2 linked regions of the Lonchura striata genome follow. The protein of the gene in region 1 purifies or fractionates together with the protein of each later gene. This does not show direct contact. Links are inferred from orthologs where the notes say so. Each region holds a gene or a part of one and is shown in the gene's direction. Other genes may lie near its edges.

Region 1 (6,976 bases):
TTTATTTACATATGCTGGACATAGCCAGTAAGCAACAGTATTGTGTTGAACCATTACTGAGCAAAAGGAGGCAGAAAAACAGCAGAAAAGAAAGTGTAGTGGAAGGCCCTGGCATGTACCACTGTACACATTTGATAATTGAGTATGTATGCATCACAGTTCCATATGCGTCTACTGATGAGCAAGCAACCAATATATGAGTTTTGTACCACTGTACTGTTTTAGTTCCAAGTGTGAGCCTGAACCACCAAACCTGCAAAGAGCAATTGTGGCATGTAGTGGGTTGCCCAGCCTTGGTAATGACCTATTCAAGCAAAGTAAAGCATTCCTCAAATAGATGAAGCCTGTTAGAAATAGCACTGAAACAAGTTAAAAACACAGACTGAGGGAGCTTTCAGTAGTTTACAAAAGTGTGAATAATTTTGAGGGCATTAATGGCAATTATGTGTCTCCTAATGTAACAGTTTTAACACTCGGGAGTTCTGCTCTAGGATGTTACTGTTCAATTCAAAGTTCAGTGACCACTGTTCAGTGGTCAAATTTCTGGTCTGTTCCAGACAATCTTTTTACAGTGGCAGAAAAAGGAACTGCATGAGGCCACACAAACATTTCTTCCCTATTTCAGAAGATTTTATGACTTTCAGACACAAATTTTATCATTGTATTATTATATGTTGGGAAAATTCATCAGTTTTTCTGTTTATCACTGTGGTTTATCCAATGGCCTAATTAGCTGTGAGAACTGGGTCTCTAATCCCTTGGCTGGCTCTGACCTTGAGTGACTTTGGGTAAAAAAAAATTATTTCTCAGCTTGATTTTATCCATCACGAAGATACTAATGTTGAATTTTTCTCCTCATGGCTTTAAAGGAACTCTCGCCTATGAATTCTTCTGGTGAATGGGAGAGAAAGAGTAAGAAAGCCAATTATAGCAGGCTCCTTCCTTAGAGGCAGAAAGATTCATCCATAACAAAACTTTATAAACCTAACTAAAATATGTATCTCTCCTTCTGCCTGTGGAATAACAGCATGTGGGTTTGATAAACAGTATTGTTTAAAACCAGGACAGTATAGGTTATTTATCATGATAATGCTAAGAAAATAATATTTTCTACTGGTGGCCATGACCTTGAAAAGGACATTCAAATTCTGTTTTGTACCTCTTTGCACACACAGATAGAGTTGCCACGTCCTAATCACTGAGACCCCAGTTATCTTACATTTGCAGTATTTGCTATATTTGCAGAAGAGACAATCAGCAAAACTCCTTCTGAAGGATATAAAACAGGCGCTGCATATAATGCTGTATGTGCAGGCATATTCTAACACGATTCCAAAAGAACCAAGACTTTCATCTATACTGTGTCTTTGGGTATAGATACAGACCTTAAGGCAAGAAAACAGGAAATAACAGGATTACAGTTTTAATTTTGGACTTCAAGACTACAAAAATGGAGAACACACCACAGAAGAGGCACCATGTGCACTCAAGGGCCATCCATCTGAGTAACACTTAACAGAGGAAAATTTATTGAACTGGTTTTTAACTGAAGTGCGGAGAAACAAAATTATCAGATCAAGGACTTCCAAGATTAAGCACAGACTCTTCCAGGTCCCACTGAAATACCTGGCATGCAGTTCTGTATTTTATCAGACGCATAGGGAGTAGCTCATGTGGGAGGTCATGCTTTTTTGGTAGGATGAAACCTAGCGCAGCCAAGACAGCATTGTTGTGCTCAGAGAGAAGAAAGTTATATTCAGGAGGAGTCAGTCTTTCACAGAAATTAAGTATCTCTAGCCAGCCCAGTTACTAGCTTGCAAACTAGCTTGCTCTTCTAGGAACTGAAAGAGAGCAACTGGTGGTCTGTATTTTCCATCTGGGTGAAGCAATTGCCATTTGCTTTTAATTGCCACTTGCCTTTTTGCATGGTCATGTCTGCCTGCTCTCATAAGAAGTCCTTGGCTCCCATCAAAATGGTTCTCAAAATGATCTCCATTTCCCCCTACAGCTTATCTAATTCACAGGTATTGTTTGCTGTCACTGAAAATGCCCACAACACACTGGAACTTTAGACTTTTAGACCCAGGTTATCATCTCAGTAGGCACTGTTTATGAAAGTGCATGCAGCTAAAGGAAAGCTGGAAGTGAACCAGGTGGTGAGAAACCAGGAATACCTTTGTACCAGGAACAGAGTGCACATGCATGTAAGGTATCAAGCAGAGGCTGTAAAAGGCACGGGAGTGAAGCATGGGAGTGAGGTGGTGCCAGGAATGAGGTCGGCACTTCCTCCTTTCAACACCTTCTGGTTCACTTTTGCGTTTCCCAGCACCTTGATACTTAAGCTGCACTGGTGTGGACCCTCATGGCCTTTGAAACAGACTGAGAAGATATTTCACCAACACAAATGCTTAAGAATTGTTGGGCTGAGACAGACATATGGGAGCTGTGGTGTAAGACAGTAAAGAAGATAGAGGTGTTGGATTGGCAAAGGGAATAGATGAAGGAATGCCACTGAACACAGTAGATGGAAAACTTGGAGAAAATGAAAGCGGGTGGGAGAAGGTAAAAAAGATGTGTTTCACCCATGCTATTATCATGGATGGAATTTAGGGAAAGGCCAGGAAGTCACAGTAAGAAAGGCAGAAACAAAATGCATTATATATGTGCCCAGGGAAGAAACAGGGCCCTGTTGCAGGTCTTTCACTCATCTCAAGTTTGGCCTGCTTCCATGAAGTGGCAGGAAACCAACAATGACAGGACGAAAAGTCCTCGTGGTGTGGACAGACTAACACACTTGTCTGGAGTACAGGGCCTTGAGGGGAAGCCACATGAGAAAGTGGCTGAGGTCCTTTGATCTGTTCATCCTGGAGGAGACTGAGGGGAGACCTCATTGCAGTCTACAACTTCCTCATGAGAAGAAGAGGAGGGGCAGACACTGGTGACCAGTGACAAGAGCTGAAGGCACAGCATGAAGTTTTGTCAGAGGAGGTTAGGCTGGACATTAAAGAGAGGTTCTTCACCCAGAGAGTGGTTGGGCACTGGAGCAGGCTCTCCAGGAAAGTGACCACAGCACCAAGCCTGAGAGAGTTCAAGAAGCATTGGAAAACACTCTCAGGCATACGGTGTCATTTATGAGGTTGGTCTTATTTCACGACCTCTGTTACTCTCTTCCAAGTCAAGCTACTCTGTGGTTGTGTTCTGTGAGTGGGACAACACATGGCACACCTTAGGCATCCTCTTTACAGAGCTGGAGTTTAATTGAAGAACGCTTCTAGCTGCCTTCTGCAGGCCTGACACAGACACAACACGGGGAAAAGAAAAAAAAAACACAAAAAACAAAAAACAAAAAAAAACCAAAAAAAAAAAAAAAAAAACAAAAAAAAAAAACAACAAAAACCCACGAAGACTCCAGCCCTGTGCCTGGAGTCGCAGCACCCCAAATTGACAGAATGAGTAACGCGATCAGTGACGGAACGCCGCCTCAGGGCATGCGCCCAGCTGTTCCCGGCCGCTCTTTCTGCGCTCCTTTTACATTAAAAAAGCTGATTAATGCGTGTCCTTCGGTCAGGCCGGTGCCGGGTTCCGTTACCTCGGCCGCTTCCTCGCCCCGGGCGGGGCCCGCCCTGGCCCGGCAGCCCGCGCGGGAGGGCCGCCGCCCTGCCGGGGAGCTTCCTCTTCCTCCGGCAGCGCGGCCGGGGCGGGAGGAGGAAGGGGAAGGGGCCGGGGCCGGGGCCGGGAAGGCTCCAGCGCGGCCGCCGCCGTCGCTGGTGCGGCAGGGGCGGAGCGGCGCGGGAGGCGGCGCCGGCGGCCGGCGGCGCCCGGAGTCACCGTGTCACGGCGCCCGGGAAGCCGTTGCCACCGGATCCGCCCCCCGCAGGGCGAGCGAGGAGGCAGCAGCAGGAGGAGGAGGAGGAGGAGGGAGGCCGCCTGCTCGCCGCCTCTTGTGTTTTCGCCCCCTTCCCGGCCCAGCCCCGGCCCCTCTCCTCTCGCACCGGGGCGGCGGTGGGGGGCGAGGCCGCAGCGGCGCCCGAGCTGCCCGCCGGAGCCCCGGGACGGGCCTGGGCCGCCGTCTCTGGACTAGGATGTCCCGACATGAAGGTGAGCGGCGCGGGGCGCCCAGGCCGCTCCCGGCGGCGGCGGGGCCCGGCGCGGCGGCCTTGGGGGCCGATCATCATCATGGCGCCGCCGGGAGCGGGGCCCGGGGCCCGGCGGCGGAAGGAAGGCGAGGCCCGGGCGGGCGGGCCGCGCTCTGCAGTGTCATAGCGGGGGAGGCCGGTACGGCCCGCTCGCCGCGCGGCCTCCGCCGGGCGGGGCCGGGGCCGCAGGTACGGCCGGCGGCGGGGCAGCCGAGCCGCCCCGCTCCTCCGCCCGTCCTTCGGGCGGAGCGAGGCGCGGCGCCCTCGGCGGGCCCGGCCGCCGTGGGTGGGCGGTGGCGCGGGGCGGCCCTGCCGACGTGTCGGCCGCCGCGGCGGGTCCCGCCGGGCTGCGCGGCCCCCTGGGTGCCGGGGAGCGGGGCCGGGCAGGAGTGTGCGGGCGGCCTGCCTCTGGGGCTGGCGAGGGCTGGCGTGTGTGCTGCCGGCCGCGGGATCTGCCCGCGTCCCCTCGGTTGTGCCTTGCGGCCGAGGAGGCCGGTGCTGGTGTGGTAGTGGCATGTTTTGAGGCCGCTGGAGAAGCGTGTTCTCTGCGTGCTGCTTTGCCGCTGGTCCCCCTGCGTGTACCGCCGTGCGGGAGTTCACTGGGTAGTTAGTCAGGAGGAGAAGGGTAGAGGAAGAGGTGGAAGCTAAGAAAGGAATTTTTGCAGGAAGAAGATGGGAGTATGCAACCAAGAAAGAGAGAAAGTTGCTCAGTTTTTCCGCGTTTGTTTACCAGCGGGTAAAGTGTTTGAGCTAGTATTTTATAAAACCAGGGTTTATCATCTGAAAAGGTAACTTTATGCATTGTTAGGAACTTCATTCAGTATTATCTTTATTTACTCTAATTTATAATTTCTCCGTTTCATCTTAAAACAGTTTGACAGAAACATTATAGGAGAATTCGGTATTTGTGGCTCATACTGCTGGCTTCTAGTTAGTAGCTTGATTTTAGGCAGTGTGCTATATGTGATGGGTTTTTGGTGTGCATCGCAGTATTTTGCAGACTTCTTGTTTGTGCAAGTATGTGTACACCTCTATCAAAGAATTGTGTTCCCTGAATCTTACTAACTCTTGTTGTTTACTTGTTAAAATCAAAGCTTAGTAAGACTGCTCCTATTTCTCCCTCTGCCTTCATGTTTTCCCAGGAGGGTGGAGATGGATTTTTTTATGGTTAAACATGCAGTTTTTACTGAAATGAAAGAATCATTGATCACAAAGTTGCTATTGGTGGTGGTGTAGTAGGATTTTGCAGTCTGCAAGTATGTGCTGTCATGCATGTACCAAAATGTTCTCTTTAATTCACAGTAGTGGAATACAGGCTTTTCTAACTTGAATAGGTTAAATTTACGCAAGCTTTATCATAGTGATAAGTGATATCATTTGTTGTTCTTTAGTGACTTTGAGTGACAAGTGCATGGACTTAAGAAGTGGTGATAATGTGTTAAAAACACATTCCAGCCCTGTCTTTTTATTAAAATAGAATTTAAAAATAGGTTTTCTTGTGTGTTTCTTATGGAAACTGTAGCATGAATTTTCCTTTCAGTTATTAGACGTTTTTTAGCAGGGAAAATTACATTTCCTGTCTTTGATATTTGTTGGTATTTTTAAAAGGTGTGACTGTTAATGAAATTTGGCTTAATATTCTCTTTCCAAAGCAGATTAATTTAGACACACCTAGTTAGAAAAAAGATAATTGCCTGATTAATTACCTAATTGGTGAGTGTGAATTTTGGGTCCTGGACATAGACTTCTCAGGTGTGTGACTGAACAAACAATGCATTCCTAAAACCATAACAACACTGTGACATTACAAATGACATCTACCACTGTGTCCTTGTGATTTTATTTTAAAAGCTAGTCTGTTCCTTAATTTCTCAATGATTCTTCTCTTCACACTTCAGATATGTTCTTTTAGGAAACTTTAGTTAGCTTAATAGTTAGTAAACTATAGTTTATTCTGCAGGGGTAGAATAACACATATTAGTATGGGAGGGATGGCTTTATGGAGAAGAGGTCTGGGGACTTGATTTTGGTAGAACTCTGGAAAACCACAGAAACTGTATGCTCAGAAAGAAAGGTAATTCTTGCTTCAGAACTGTGCAAGGTTACAGCTGACAGTTTCTGATCCATTATGACTAGTTTGGGGATGGCTGTCTTGGAAGAATATGGTATAGGGAAAAAGCAAGCTTTAATCACATTTATGTTAATAGTTTTCCTGTGTATTTTCTTTAAAATGGTCTGTACACAAAGTTACAAGCAAGATTTATTGATATTTCTTGACAGAATTGGGATGCTGTACCAATTTTATGATGGAAAAGTATCTGGATGTGTAAATGCTGGAGAAGCTAGAATTCTAAAGGCTTGGGACCTGGAAGTAGGCTGTAAAGCATCTGATGGAGATTTACTGTCCATTGGGCTTTCTTGACTGCTTCTTTGGTGTAATAAATTGTACGAAGCAACTGTTTGGGGTATTTTGGTTAGTTGGCTTTGTTGTTTTTTTAAAAGTGAGATTTTGTTGTCCTTCACAGAAAGTTTCACCACGGCCTTCCTTTTCAGTGTGCTTTGATTTCACACATGAGGTCCAGACTCCCGTTTCTCCCAAATCCAGGAAAATAGACACCAACTAGAATTTGAATTAGTGTTGCTTTTTTGGATGTGTTTATTCAATGTTCAAGAGACTTCCTTGGTAATGCTGTCAAGAGTTAAGTACTTATCTCTCAGTATTGCTAGGCTTTTCCAATTTTTCAAAACCATTTTTGCTGTGATTTGGTGTTAAGAGGCTAGCTTTTGGTTTTGTAGAATGCAAAATGAGGTCATTCCCTGGTCTTGGTGTTCATGCTGTT
Region 2 (7,056 bases), on another chromosome or scaffold:
ATGGATGGATGTCATTGTTACAGGAGCAGAAGGCTACACCCACTTCATGTTATAATAAAAGGGGAGCAATAGGGCATCCTGCAATAACATAACTAATGAAGTTAGCCATAGCTAGTGACAGCTGAAAAGCCAGTGAATACCCTGAAATGTCCTCCTTATGATGTGCACCCAAAACCTCAGGTCGAGCGGGGGTTGCAAATGCATTGAAAAGGGAGGGTTGTTACCTGTTGTAATTGATTTTTATAGGAATGAACAAGCTAAAGCTGTTGAGAGAATCATAGTGCTCCAAAATGGATAATCAGGCAATTTTAATTACAGCATCTTGATTGAATGATAAGTTTCTACAGATTCTCTTATACAGAGAATGTCTTAGTAAATTTATACTGAACAATTTACAAGTGTGTGTGTTCTCATTGGTATGCAAAAAATTCTAGTAGTGAAACAAAAAGGTGTAATAAGCATATATTTTAATATGCAAAATTTGGCATTTATAGATGATTAGGTGACTTTTTAAAAACTTTAGTCAAGTATTTTATAGAAATACAAACAAAAAAGAAGTCCTAAGGTACACAGTTCTTGCCTTAGTAGTTAAGTGTTACAACAGAGCCAAAGAGTTACATGATTTCCCTTACGTTTTCATATTGTTACTTATACCTAACTTTCTGTAAGGGGACAGTGCCAAAACTCTTAATGACTTTTAATGTAATTAAATTGTTATATTCTGTATGCTCAAAAACTTTGTGGCAAACAACTGCGTGTTTAAGGTTTGTATCTATGGAGCACAGCAAGAAAAAAAAAAAAAGGAAACCCAAGATGGATAGCTTTATAAAGATGCAATTTTTCCACAAGGTTGAGAAATGGAAACACATGTATTAACTGCCTCATAAAGAGGGATTTTTTTAATCCTCCCTGTTGAACAGAATAAGATGATTCTGGACTCTACAGGAATTTTCTTTTATATCGTAAGGTTCCAGTGTGGTTCTAATCTTACTATGTGCCAAGTGAACACTATTGAAATCTCTCAAATATTGCCTGCCTTGAAGCCAGCACCAAAATCTCTGCGTGTCTGGACTCTTTGGAGACAAGCTTTCCCAGAGAATTCTTTAATGTATATCTGCACAGAATAATGCTGTCAAATAGAATAAATAGAAAGGTGAGTTCTAAGAGTTTACACTAAGCAGTGTATGAATAAAAAACCTGGAAGTTTGAAGTAGTAGGGATTGAGATTCCTAAAACAGCAAAAATACTGAGGGTGCAGCAGTCTCCCGTTTTAAAATCACCTCCAAGTTCTTGAATAATATTGCAAAAATATAAATTATTTAATTGAAATGAACTTCAAGAAAGTGTCATATTATGACTTTAAAGAGGTTCTATTTGATTATAATTGAAACATGCTCTGTGGTTTGTGTACTAGAAGAAAGCACATTAGCCTTTTTTTTTTCTTTGATGGAAAGCTAATGGCTTTTAATTGAACAAATAAACTGAAAACAGAATAGAAGTATGCTGGCAGAATATTTTTGTTATACTTTTTAAGCCCTGTAACTGTAATGAACAGGTCTGTGGTATGTACAAGTGATGTGGTTGGTCTAGCATGACAACCATCAGTTTCTACTTGAATCATAGAAGAGACTGTTGTTGCAAGGTAATTGTTATCATCTGTGCAGATCACAGCCTGTAATCTATAATTTAAAACACTATCAAATAAATTGCTTTTGTTTATACAGTTATTATTTTTTCCTGATGTATCTTGATTTTATTCCCAAGTATAGTTATAAAGGTTTTCTAATAATGATTTTTGTATCCTGCATGATGCAATGAAGGCATTTCAATAAACATTTTTAAAAATAAACTTGTTTCAAATATTTTCTTGCTGCTTTATCCTGGGACATTTGTGCTTGTCTTTTAAATAGTTATATGCAGTCATGCAAGCAACACTGTATTTCTCAGTAACACTCATTTGAACTATTCCATGTATTTTCCCACAAAAGAGCTATGGAAAATAATCTTTCTTTCAGTGAAATTAGGAGTGTAGTTTGTTTTCTGCATGTACATAATATAATACCTTTTTCATTTTTTATGAACCCGTTTGAAAAATTTATTACCAGCTTTGGATATTGACGATTTTTTTTTTTGTTTAACTGCAAACCAGAAACTGCTTGAGTTTAAGGATTTCAACATTTTCCCAATATTTGACTTACACATGACCTGAATGGGAGTATTAACTCACTGTGGAAATGAAAACCAGTGTGGTTTTATGATTGATTTGTTTTCATTAAGTTTGCCATCATCATAATGAAGTGGGGTGGGGTCTGTAGTGGTGTGTATCAAGACAACATAAGTAGAGCATGGTGGTGGGCACCCCCTTCTATAATCAGTCTGCACTGATCATAATGATCTTTAATGAGGTCCCTTCTCAGCCATCTCTTCTTGAGGCTTGTGAAAAACGTTAATCACTTGGTTTATAAAATTTTTAAATGTTGAGTAATAATAAAATTATTATAAAAATAGTAATACAATTAGAGTAATAAAATTTAGAGTTAGGGCAATTACAAGACAATAAACAGCAAAGAATTATGGATGTCCGGATGCTCTCGGACACTAAATCACAAAAAGCATCCCTTGTGAACAAAAGAATAACCTTAAAAGCAATAGCCTGTTGCATATTCATATATCTCATACATGATGCATAAATTCCTTGCATATTAAGAACTTTTCTGGTTTTTGTCAACTTCTTCTCTTTAATCTTGGTGGTTCCAAAAAGACAGAGAGAAGGTGGAAGAATGTTTGTCTTTCCTGATAAGGAGGCAGTAACTTTTTATGGGCCCCCTTTGCTGACATCTCTGTGTGAAGTTTCTTGATTATCTCATCTTCTCGCTTGAGCTTGTGACAAATCTTATATCGCAGAATTTCTATTTTAACATTATGCTGTAACCTAAAAACTGTATTTAACACAGTACTTGAGAGAATTAATACAGAATAACTCTCTTAACATTACACATATAATATTCATTGTAACATTTGCGAAAAGCCGATCATAAAATACGCATTTTTTAATGCATATTTTATTATAAAATACCATATAGGCTGAACAGGCCCAGGCCTTTCCCTTGGCCTCTCCTGCTAAGAGAGATGCTTAAATCACCCTCGTAGCCTGCCACTGGAGCACTCCAGGAGCTTCTTTTCCCTCCTGTACTGAGGAGCCAAGACCTGGACACAGCCCTGCAGAGGTGGGAGCTGAGCATCGCTTTGGGCAGTGCTGGGCAGAGGGGCTGGACCACCTCCCTGCAGTGCTGCCAGTGCTCTTCCCAAAGTACACCTTTGCCCTTCTTGGCTATGTTATAAATGAAAATTTGTCCAGCAAACAAAAAAAAACCCAAAAAAAACAGTGCTGAGCCCGGGGATGGATCTTGGGTGCGCAACAAAGAGTCAGCCTCAGCAGAGGTTTTCCTCTGTGCCCACACACCTCCATCCTGGCACAGGCGGGTTTTATAGGGAAAATTCTGCCTGAGGCCAAGATTTCGGCAGTCAGCCTTTTCTTCCCTTCAGAATCCATAGGTTATTCTTTTTTTTTTTTTTTTTTGGTGATGAGGAAGAACAATTCCGTGTCCTGGAGCTGGTGAATCCCTTGATGAAATTTAGGGGAACGCTGCATTCACCTGCACCTGCCCGAGGATTTCTATAATATAATATCCATCTCGGGTCTTTTATGCGCTGATCAGCACCTGGGGTCCCCATATCTCTCCAGACATGGCCCATCTCCTGAGCCACATCCTTTTAAATCAGTTTCCAATATTCCCATATTCACCAGGTCTCGCCTGCGAGTTTGGGGGGGGGGGGGGGGTGCGCGTCTAATCCAAACAAGTATCCAACATTACACATTTCATATGTAATGGCGCGAATTAGGTTCACCACACACGACAGCTACGAGGCACGGCAGGCGCGGAGGAGCCGCGCACGGTTCGTGTTTTGGTTTTATCGCACAGAGCCCGCCGCCCCTCAGGCGGCCCGGCCCTCACAGGCCGCGCCCGCCGCTGCCCCGCGGGCGGCGCATGCGCGGCCATGGCGGCCATGGCGGCCATGGCGCTGCTGCGGCCCGGCCGGGCCGCCCTGCGGCCAGCGCTGTCACCGCTCCGGGGTAAGGGCACGGCCGCGGCGAGCTCGGAGCACGCACAGGGCTTGCCGGGCGGAGGGGAGGGGATGTGTGTCGGTGCCGCACACGGGCAGCTCCCCTTCAGCGCCGCCTCCGTGAGGAAGGGCCGGGGCGCGGCCCTCTGTGGGGATGGGCATCTCGAGCTCATCCCGCGCGGCTCCTGACGGCTTCTCCTCCCCGCCTGGCTCGGTGGCTGTGCACAGCCGCTTTCCTGCGTGTGTCGTGTTGGCTCGAAGCTCTCGGCCCTGCTGGGTGTGGAGGAGCCGGGCGCCCGTTCGCTCCTTGGTGTGAAACCAGGCAAAGCTCCGCCAGGCGCACGGAAAGCTTTGCTGGTGTCCGCCTCTGCCCAAACACTGCCCTTCTTGATGTGTCGCACCCCGTGCTTGTCTGAGCTGTTCAGTTTATTAATTGCCCTTAATTGGACGGGTGAGTCTCATCTAAGGTTGCTCAGTGAGTAAAATTTAATTGCCACTATGGGTGCACGCTTTGTAGCTGCATGAAAGCTTGATTACAGGGGGATTTTGTTGCTGTGTTCTTCTTCTTTTCTGTGTGTTTGTAACAGTAATATTATCAGAATATCTTGGTTATTTGAGTGTGTCTTTAGGTGCTCTGGGACCAGGCCGAGCAGCAGTTCCTGCTGGAATGTGGGTGGTTGCATTAAACCAAGTGTGTCCGAGTCCTGGCCTGGTTCAGGGGTTCCGTGTCGTGGTAAAGTCTCTCCTCCAACCCGTGCTTCCAAAGAAAACTCAGCAGCCTCTTGTAGTTTGGTCTCAAGGCAGTTTATTGCAAGCTATCTAAAAGATTTTCTTCTCTGGTTACTGCGGTTTGGTCAGCAACTCCAGCAGAGGCACACACACACACACCCTGACATCCTCTCTGTCTGCTGTCTTCTTCTCTCCCACCCAGGGCTGCTGCTATCCTTTATATGGTGCATTACATGATAAATGTTTACAGTTTTTCCCCAATACCTACTATCTATATTAAATGGTGCTTTTCTACTCTAAACCCCTAAGTGCCAACATCATCAAGAACATGGAGGTAAGGAAGAAGAAAGAGGAGGAACAGAACCGGCCTACATTCCTCCATCTTAAAACTTCTGACCCTCATGTACAAAGTAAAAACCCTGCTGTACAGGTGTTAAAACCCCCTTGTACAGTACTAAAAAATTCTTCCCTCTACTTTGTAACTACTTCTACTATAATACCTAAACTTTTGTGACTCCTTGTTCCACCTGCAAAGTTGGTAAATCGTTCCATGGCTCAAACCCAAAATCACAGCTGTTTGCAGCTGCCTGCCAGGGTCTCAAATGCCTCTGACCAGGGCCTGGAACCTCCAAAAATGTCTGAGGGACATTTTGAGTTCCAACACAAGTGTGGACACAGTTGAGTGCATTACCTGTCACAGCAGCATTAATCTGTTGCTGCTGGGAGTGGGGAGATCTCAGTGCAGGAGTATTCCCAGAGTTGTTCAGGGAACTTCTTTGGCTTTGATGTGTAATGTAACACTGGTCTCAATCACAGTTTCTGGTGTTCATAGAAGTGCACTTTGATATGAAGAGAATTCCACAGATCAGGCAAGGGTCCTGTTGTCTTCCTGTAGGTATTGCCTTCTGTCTGTAACTTGCTTTTATGAACATTAATACCTGCATTGCACCTTTCAGAAATGCTTCCTGCTCTTACCAAGGTCTTCCCTAAAATCAGGAGGGGAAATTACTGGGTAGCTGCTGATGGTTTTGTCTGTCTAAAGAGAAATCTGAGAGGGTGACTACATTGAGCTTTGCTTACGGGTTTGCTGCAGTGGTTGCTTTAGGGGTTTGCATTATTCAGGTTAGGATTGCTGCTGGTGCTTCCATTAACTTGTTAAATGGAATAATAGTTTGTGAAATAGCTAAGACAGTTCTGTCTTCTGGCTGCAGCTGGAATCCTGCCAGTGCCAAAGTAATTTGAAGACACCTCCAGAGTGCTGCAGCATGGAAGACAAGTGGCTTCAGAGATGGCTATCAGGGCTTAAGGGGGAGAAAAATATTTCCAGTTACTTTTCTTTTAAATTTAGGGCTTGGTTCTTCTCGTCCTACTGACACTTGCACTCTACTGGCCCTGAAGAAGTGACTGGCTTAGTCAAAGACACTCATGAATCACAAGCCACAGTGTGGATGTGTCTTAATACCTCCACTGTGGAAGTCATTCACCTTTATAAACAGCTCATACCTCAGTAGGATAAAGAACTGCCTCATTGTTTGAGGAGCAATTTAATGGTTTTAATCTATAGTTCAAATGATGCCATTTCTGTTGGACTGTAGGAAAGTTCTGAATGTTAGCTGCACTCTGTATCTGTTATGTATCCACACTTACTCATGTACATCCAAGTTTAACAAACCAACCCCCAAAAACCTTTTCTATGTAATCTCTGATAGTGACAAGACAGAATTCAAGGCTGCAGGACAGTTAAGTGGTGTGATACTGTCAGGCTTGGGCTTTGCACTATTTATCCACCCCTAGGAAGCCCTGAGGCTTTATTTTGGGTTACATAGTTTCTTTGCCCCCCTGCTGAAGCCAGTGATCTTCTAATCTAAGAATTAAGAGTGTCAAAGTGTTAGAAGACTTGACCAAGCTTTCAGTTTAACAAATTACCTTCTTGAGCTGGATAATAGAGTGGATTAAGTCTCCTTAACAGCTCTCTACAAATTACTTGTCCTCACCTGCAGTAGAGGTAAAACTGACTGCTAAAGTTAGATTAAGTCCTGTAGCAGCTGTTGAGATTCAGCAGAATTATTAATTAGTTAGCATTTCCTATGTTAATTTCTGTGTTTGATGTTATTCATTTCATTTGGTTTAAACAATGCTTATGTTTTTTCATGCTAATGATGAAAAAGTTGGTCACAAGATTCTTTCCCAGTTCTTGATTAT

Evidence for each region. Proteins that work in one complex are often made in the same cells at the same time.
Region 2: the proteins of KCMF1 (region 1) and ABHD10 purify together in Homo sapiens (affinity purification with mass spectrometry; 3 studies listed by BioGRID and IntAct, counting the BioPlex papers as one, with this or other methods). This does not show direct contact. The link is inferred for Lonchura striata from reciprocal best matches to the Homo sapiens genes KCMF1 and ABHD10.

Annotation. Positions count from the first base shown.
Region 1 is NC_134642.1:4,691,394-4,698,369, reverse strand, and holds the start of KCMF1 (E3 ubiquitin-protein ligase KCMF1), read left to right. Parts: upstream 1-3,965; 5' UTR 3,966-4,082; coding exon 4,083-4,098; intron 4,099-4,595; exon of another isoform or gene 4,596-4,924; intron 4,925-6,976. UniProt on the Homo sapiens protein: E3 ubiquitin-protein ligase which accepts ubiquitin from an E2 ubiquitin-conjugating enzyme and then transfers it to targeted substrates, promoting their degradation by the proteasome.
Region 2 is NC_134604.1:3,863,793-3,870,848, forward strand, and holds the start of ABHD10 (palmitoyl-protein thioesterase ABHD10, mitochondrial), read left to right. Parts: upstream 1-4,042; 5' UTR 4,043-4,059; coding exon 4,060-4,135; intron 4,136-4,221; exon of another isoform or gene 4,222-4,515; coding exon of another isoform or gene 4,516-4,576; intron 4,577-7,056. Other genes in the region: PHLDB2 (pleckstrin homology-like domain family B member 2), read left to right, coding at 1-55. UniProt on the Homo sapiens protein: Acts as an acyl-protein thioesterase that hydrolyzes fatty acids from acylated residues in proteins.